Oryzias latipes: one gene and its partner. The main gene of each other region encodes a partner of the protein of the gene in region 2 in a complex. Links are inferred from orthologs where the notes say so. Each region holds a gene or a part of one and is shown on either strand. Other genes may lie near its edges.

What was found. The genes of interacting proteins can lie anywhere in the genome.
Region 1: lsm4 (region 2) and ppih share a complex: the UniProt entries of both Homo sapiens proteins name them as parts of the U4/U6-U5 tri-snRNP complex. The link is inferred for Oryzias latipes from reciprocal best matches to the Homo sapiens genes LSM4 and PPIH.

The regions. Positions count from the first base shown.
Region 1 is NC_019865.2:7,790,936-7,794,591, reverse strand, and holds the end of ppih (peptidyl-prolyl cis-trans isomerase H), read right to left. Parts: intron 2,639-3,656; coding exon 2,596-2,638; intron 1,920-2,595; coding exon 1,827-1,919; intron 1,660-1,826; coding exon 1,572-1,659; intron 1,486-1,571; coding exon 1,445-1,485; intron 492-1,444; coding exon 423-491; 3' UTR 254-422; downstream 1-253. UniProt on the Homo sapiens protein: PPIase that catalyzes the cis-trans isomerization of proline imidic peptide bonds in oligopeptides and may therefore assist protein folding. Participates in pre-mRNA splicing.
Region 2 is NC_019862.2:13,834,351-13,838,759, forward strand, and holds the start of lsm4 (U6 snRNA-associated Sm-like protein LSm4), read right to left. Parts: upstream 2,951-4,409; 5' UTR 2,831-2,950; coding exon 2,828-2,830; intron 2,402-2,827; coding exon 2,360-2,401; intron 2,120-2,359; coding exon 2,021-2,119; intron 329-2,020; coding exon 148-328; intron 1-147. UniProt on the Homo sapiens protein: Plays a role in pre-mRNA splicing as component of the U4/U6-U5 tri-snRNP complex that is involved in spliceosome assembly, and as component of the precatalytic spliceosome (spliceosome B complex).

The DNA.
Region 1 (3,656 bases), on a different chromosome or scaffold from region 2:
GAAACAATAGACGTTTTTTGATTTGATTGTTATTTGAGTTTAGGAACAAGAAACATGGAAAACACAAAAGCAAATTTTTTTCCAATAAAAAAATTGGAATCAAAACTATTAGAAAATATGGCTTGTTAAAAAATACTAAAAAATGTTTCTTTTGCATAAATTTACATATTTTAAATGCACACTTAAAGCAATGTAATCTAACTTTTGTGGAATGACCAACAACATGTAAAAATATGGAGGGGAAAATGCAACATTTTTAGTAAAAAAAACAATTTTATTTGTTCCTCATGATAACAGTGTGGGAGCCAACAATTATTGTCTAAGGACCGAGAAGAAAATTTAGAAAATGTTTACACTTTGGATGCTACAAGAACTAAATCATGGAGTTTAAGATGACGTTTACCAGAACTTCTTCAAACAAATTACATTTCTCCACATTGAGCGATGAGGATTGGGAGTTTTGGCTTGTTGTTGGGTCCTGTGGGAACATTCTGTTTGAAGAAAGAAGAACATTTCAGAATAACCAGATTAATAACAGATTGAATTTGCAGCCCATTTTCCCAAACCTTTCAGGTTTTATACTCAAAACACGGTTAAAGATCATAAGTTTTGGTACCAGGGGGGAAAAAAAATCAATAGAAATACTAAAACATCCCCTGTGACCTGCAAACTTACTTTAAAATAAAGATAGTCAGACCTGCCTCTGAGATTTTAACCATTTTTTGTTACAATCAAGTCAAGAAAAATTCTATTTAAGAAATAAGTTCTAAAAGGATCAAACAGTAGTTACGAAATTAAAGTCCAAATTTCTAATTTCTTTTATTTGTCTTAAGGTTTTAAAGAATTATTAACTGTTACTTATTTCTGACTCCAGGAAAATTTCCTGCTTTCTCTGTTTTAAAATGCTTGATTTAAAAAAAAAAACATACATTAGGTTTTAGTATAAGATAAATATAACTTCAAAACAACAGCTTTTTTCCCTTACGTGTACATTATTATAACACATTATCACATCTTTTATGTTTATGAGGAGATTTGCAAACATACAGCTCTCTTAAGGATTAACCATATCATTTCAATTGGATTTAAATTCAGATTAGACCTGTACAAACTTTTAAATCTGATTCCCCCCCCCCTAATAATTATGTTCTGGGGTTTTTGGGCTATATTGACATAAATTTCTTGCTTTACTTGGCCCCCACTTTTAATTAAGTTTTAGTTTATGACCATCACAACGGTTTTAAGATGTTAAGGGTTATTAGCTGGAAATTCTACCCAACAACAGTATCCCACCACCTCCTTACGGGGTAACCAAAGATCTTTTAGCAGGAACCCTTCAATTTTTTTTCTATACACTTTGCTGGAAACAAAGCCCAGCTGCCCAACTTTGTTCCCTTTTGGTTGTTAAACATTTTAAACATAGTCAATAAAGGTTCATCTTTACCTCAATTTTTCTCATGATCAGCAAACCATCCACCACTTTTCCTGAAACAGAAACAAATTTAAGAATTTTAATCACACACAGAAGAAGAAAACAAAAAGCGCTCTTATCTTAATAACGACTTATTTACCAAAAACAACATGTTTCCCATCTAACCAGTCACATTTCGTGCAGGTTAGGAAGAACTGGCAACCATTTGTCCCAGGACCACTGTTAGCCTGTGAGAGAAGTGAATAGTAAAAATAAAAACAAAACAAAAAATGTTTCAATCCAGTCGAATCTGATGTCATGTATAATAACAAGACATCCAAAATATTCACAGGGCAACCTCTTTGCCTGATGAAGATGTCTCACTCTGTAAATGTGAATTCCTTTGCAAACCTACCATAGAAAGAAGACCAGGAGCAGAGTGCTTGTGCTTGAAGTTTTCATCTGCAAAAGGTCCTCTGTAGATACTGCAGACGCCGGTTCCATCCCCCTGCAGAACAACTATTCTCAGCAGAGCTCTTGAGATGTAATTCAGCTTTCAACCACAAGAGGGAGAAAGCTTTCCTTTCCTGCCATCATTAGATTTCAGAGCAACATTTAATTGGTTATGTCCTGAACATAGCTTAATGATGAGGAAAAGAGAAGCTACTCAAACTGAGATGTTTCAGTTCACATTTTTGGTTAGTTCTGCATCTAGATCTGGTTTTGAATTTCTATTTCTTGCACATATGATGCTTAACCTTTGTGTTGTGTTTTCATTCTCCTGCATGAGTTTATGATTTATTGTAATACAAGACATAAAAAAACCTGTCTTTTATTTTGCATTTATAAACTACAACATCAGCCTGTATTTAATGGTACTAGTTCACCTGTAAAAGTCATCTGTAAGTTTTATGAGTATTTTAAATTGGGTTTATTTCAGAAGTGTTGTATACCTGCAAGAGTTAGACAGGGTGTGTCTGCATTGAAAAATCAAGATCTATTAAAAAACAGGCTAATGACAGAAGAAAAAGCTTCAACAGTTGAATGACGTCCAAACCTCAAAGAGATTAAACACTCGAACGCCAGCAAACACACAAACGCCAGCAAACACACAAATGATTAACATGATCTAACTTTTACTTTTGTCCAGCCTAAGAGAGATGTCGAGACGTTAGCGTACTTACATTGACAAAGTCTCCTCCTTGTATCATGAAGTCCTTGATGACTCTGCCATGGGACAAAGGTTGAGGGGGGGGGGGGGGGGGGGGTCAATAGAAATATAAAAACATTCGCTGTGACCTGCAAACTTACTTAAAACTAAAGATAGTCAGACCTGATATTTGAAACATTTTTTGTTACAATCCAGTCAAGAAAAATTCTATTTGAGAAATAAATTGTAAAATTATAGGCACGACATTAGACAGAAACGTACACTGAAGATCTACGCACACAACTGTTGATCCGTCTTAGCCTTTGAGTCACAAAAGTTAGCTTTCAAAGCTATAAAGACAAAGCACTTTGTTTCTGTGTACGGTGCAAGTCTTTCTAATTAGTTGTGGTATTTTTCTATTTTTTTTGTCTCATCACAGTTGCCTTGATGTCGGCAGTGGAAAGAAACTAAGCTTTTCTTTGTGATTCTTGAAGTGCATCCCATCTTATCCTCTCTTATCCATTTTAACTGCTGAGTCCCAACTAAAAGAGAGCCTCCAGTGCTGGCAGGTTTCTATCTCCTGGACTGATCTCAGACACTAAACTGGTCCCCATTTTCTTTTACGATCAAGTCAAACACGGGCCGTCTGGGTGACTTAAAACAATCCTCCTTTTTTGGTTTAGACTTGGTGATTTAGATAGAATTTGGTTAGATAAACCTGACAAGAAATGTTATTACTTTAAACTTGAATCAGAATTTGGTTGTTCTTCCCACAGTTTTAAGCCTTCTACTACACAGCTGTTTTCTACAATCCTACAAAATCCCCGACTCTGTGTTAAGCGCACCTTGAAGATTTGATGCTGATTTGGAGGGAAAAAGTACCAACACCAATTTGATTTGGACTTTTCTATTGCTCACTGATTTAACATTTTTTAAATTTATGGAAATAAACAATTATTATTTACACATCTGAAAGCATGCTTAGTTCACTGCCTTTTTTCCCTCCTGCCAAATATTGTTTTTGCACTGAATATGAAAAGGTCCACCTTTTGCAACTATTACAGTTTCAACTCTTCTGGGAAAGCTGTCCACAAG
Region 2 (4,409 bases):
ATAATAAATTCCTAAACAAATAAAGATGATGTTTCACCAGATGTGTTTAAAAGCTTTAACAGAGGGATTTTTTACTTATTTTAAGCTGATCTAAGTCTCATTAAGGCAAATCATGACAGAACAAATGCAGAAGTTGCTTCCTCTCACCTCGGCCGGCTCCGCCTCTTCCTTTACCCTGCTGCTTATTCTGCTGGGCACCTCCACGTCCACGACCCTTAGAAACCACCTCATCCTTCACCATGTCAATAATCTCATCTGGAATTCGCAGATACTTGATGGTACTTCCCCTGATGTAGCACTCTGGCATCCTCCAAAACTTATCACCATCCTGTGGGAAAAAGACCAAACGATGAGTGTAACCAGTATACTTCAAAGGGTCTATGCTAAATCCCTTTTTTGAACTTCCCGGTGTATTATAAAGAAACCTCAAACCAGTATTGACCCATTCACGCATTTCTGAGAATTCCTCTAAAAACCTGTGCTCCAGGAACCAGCCACACCTAACCCACAAAAACAAGCGGGTTCTCACGAGCTGATGTAGATAAGTGAGAACAGCCCCTTCCAGGAAGAGTCTGCGCTGCCAGCCCCGCCCCCAGGCTAAAACACACACTCCATGAAGCTAGTGGTGTTTGGCAAAACTCTCTTTACATGCTCAATATGCACATTCATCTTTACGAAAGTTTGAATGTTGTTTGTTTCGTGGGCGAGACACAGACATGTTGTTGATGCTGGCTATAGGTTGACATCATGGAAGTGCCGGTGCCTCAGATCCAGTCGTCTTGCTTCCAGGTTGGAAAATAACTCAGGAAAATAACTAATATTCATTCATCATTTTTTAATTCATCTTCTAAACCCGCTTTGTCCCTTTTGGGGTCACTGGGCTGCCGGGGCCTATCCCAGCTACTCATGGGTGAAGGCAGGGGGCTTCCTGGACAGGACACCAGTCTGTCACAGGTCCACAAATCACTCACCCATGCACACTTGCATTCACACTTATGGACAATTTAAGGTAACCAATTAACCTACGAAGGTGGGAGTCCCCGGAGAAAACCCACGTATGCACGGGGAGAACATGCAAACTCCACACAGACAGGTTCTTTTTCAGGTCCCCCAGCCAAGTCTTGGACCTGGCTGGGCTTGCAGTTGGCTGGGGGACCAACAGCAACCAAGTCCCCAAAACTTGGCTGGGGGATCTTGCGCTAACCACTGCGCCACGTAACTAATATTTAATTTAAAAAATCTTTCTTTTGTGGGCCAAAGGTAATATATATATGGATATTCTTTACCATGAATGGTTTAGGAATAGCATGGTACAGGGCCTTTAACAATAATCAGTCCTTTTTCTTCTAACAAAAAAAATTAGCGTTGAGGTTTTTGTTCCAACATGTATCAAAGGATGTTTTACTAAAACCATTGCTTCATTATACATTAGTCTTTATATTTTAAAGGCTCACTTCAATTATCTTTTGATCTATTCCCAGTATTTTGATTTTGTTTTTTTTCATTATGCAGCTTTAAGCCAAAATGAAAAACTTGTCTTGTTTTCTAGGACAGTTTCTGCAGAGTGACAGAAGTTCATTAGAAATATACCTAAAAAAGCCTGCCGCATTTTCCAAGGTCCCTTTGTTTCCACTCTCCTGCTAGCTTACACACCCTCATACCCCCAATCTAACACCAAGTGCAAGAAAATTGGTGGGGAATGTTGAAGCTATACAGACGTACAGTTTAAAGCCAGATGCCAGCTCAGACGAGGAAAACCAAGACGTAAATGGATCTAATTGCCTACAAACTTTCTTTATATATGTCCGTCATTATGAGAAAAATGCCACAAAACATGTTAAAAACCAAACCAAACAAATACACTATTTTAATTGGGGTGGGTCTTTAAACGGCTAAGGTAGTCAGAATGAAAACTGAAGGAAACAGGTAAGCGACTGTTAAATTTAAGCTAATTTTTTTTATTTAAGGTGTGCAGTTTATGGATCGTTCTCCACTGAGAACATGAGAGCAAATCTGTTACCCTGGATGTGCAGATGACTTCTCTCAAGTTGATGTTCATCCAGTTGTCACAGCTAACCAGATGACCGTTGTAGGTTTCTCCATTCTTCAGTTCAACCAGCTGAAAAAAATCAAAGTTCATTGAAAAAAAGGTCAGCTGGTGATTATGGTTTTCTAAAAGGTTCTTTCTTTATTCAAAAAGAAATGCACAAAAATTATTGTTTAAAGAAAAACATGCAAACAATCTCAATAACAAAACAAAAAACCTGATCTTAAAACCACAAGTAACTGAATAAAATGGTTTAACCAGTAATCACCAGATAAGGAATAGAAGGAGGAAAGAAAAGCAATTATTTCTTACCATAGGATGGTTCTGGGCCGTCTTCAAAAGGGACAAGGGAAGCTGCGAAATAGTAGAAATGGGTCCGATTTATGATCTCTATGATATATTAAAATAATGCATTCTAAAAGGAATATTGATTCAGAAATGAAGAACACGTCTGAATGTATTTCTGTGTCGGCGGAGAAACTTAAGCTCTGTTCCGAACTATAATGATTCGTTTGTGTTTAGTTTAGTACTAAACGTGTATCTGAAATGGTGACCCCCCCCCCTTATATATTTATATAGAAAATAATTTTAAAAAGAACCACTTGTATAGTCAGCGTTCCACAAGCAGAAAACAATTTAGCATTGGTTGCTAGCGTAGCTTAGCCTTGATTTGCGATGTTTAAACCAGTTACATGGGATTTTTGAAGCCAAAGAACAGGTCAGTATTTTTATATAGTGTGTGATTTTTACAAAATAGTCCATTTGTAAGTAATAACTTACCATTCTGGTAGGTTATGTTTGTGCTGCCTTAGATTAGCAACACGATTTTTACTCGCAGACTCTTCTTCGTTTTCTACGTACTCGGTGCCACGTCTTATTAAAACATGACTGCCCCCTAGCGCAAAACATGCGCAAACACAGGAGCATTTTCTTTTGTTCTTTTACTGTGACGAAATTCAAAAATAAATACAGAGGACCAAGTGTAACATCTATCTATCAAACACAGGAGCATTTTCTTTTGTTCTTTTACTGTGACGAAATTCAAAAATAAATACAGAGGACCAAGTGTAACATCTATCTATCTATCTATCTATCTATCTATCTATCTATCTATCTATCTATCTATCTATCTATCTATCTATCTATCTATCTATCTATCTATCTATCTATCTATCTATCTATCTATCTATCTATCTATCTATCTATCTATCTATCTATCTATCTATCTATCTATCTATCTATCTATCTATCTATCTATCTATCTATCTATCTATCTATCTATCTATCTATCTATCTATCTATCTATCTATCCATCCATCTATCTATCCATCCATCCATCCATCCATCCATCCATCCATCCATCCATCCATCCATCCATCCATCCATCCATCCATCTATCTATCTATCTATCTATCTATCTATCTATCTATCTATCTATCTATCTATCTATCTATCTATCTATCTATCTATCTATCTATCTATCTATCTATCTATCTATCTATCTATCTATCTATCTATCTATCTATCTATCTATCTATCTATACACAAACATTTCCTTCAAAGCATAAAACCGCTTAATAATATCTTATAGCAAAATCCTGTGTCTCAAATTTCAGATTGTACCATTGCTGATTAGTTCGCATTAGGTATGAGTGTCTAGACTAAACATAATACAGTAATTTTTTCTTCATTTTCAGTGAAATGCATTTTTATTCCTTAAATTAGTACAGAATAAAATTAAAAAAAATAATGATGATAAAATGAGGATAATAGAGAAGAAAGAGAAGAATAATATTGAATAGATCACTGCCACAACTCCTTGTATTATAAAAAAGGAAAAGCTGGAATTTTGTTGCGTGTACATGTGACACAGTGACAATAAAATAAGTCTATTCTATTCTATTCTGTTCTATTCTATTTTATGATTAAGGTCTGTCTGGTTTTGGTAAAGTCTAAATAAATGTGACAGTGGTTTAAAAAATAATAATTTTTTTCATTACCAAATGGATTCATGTAATTGAATTACGTGAATCCTTATATAATTTGACCAACACGTTCATATTTTTGCTGGTGCAATTTTTGCAACAACTAATTTATAGCTTGGTACTTAATTAAAGTCTTATTTTATGATAAAACACAGGCAAGACAATTGGTTGTATTAAAATAGGATATTTGTGTAGTTTTTATTTATTTATTTTTTCTTTTTGTTTTTTCCCTAAGTTGACATTTCTCAGCCACCGTAGCCGTCATTCCGTTGATGGCGTCATTACGTTGGGTTTGACGCAGCGTGCAGGATGAGAGAGAACGGCAGGTTTCTTTTGATTGTGGGAGAAGGAGTCGTCAGCTGTGAGGGTCTCCGGCT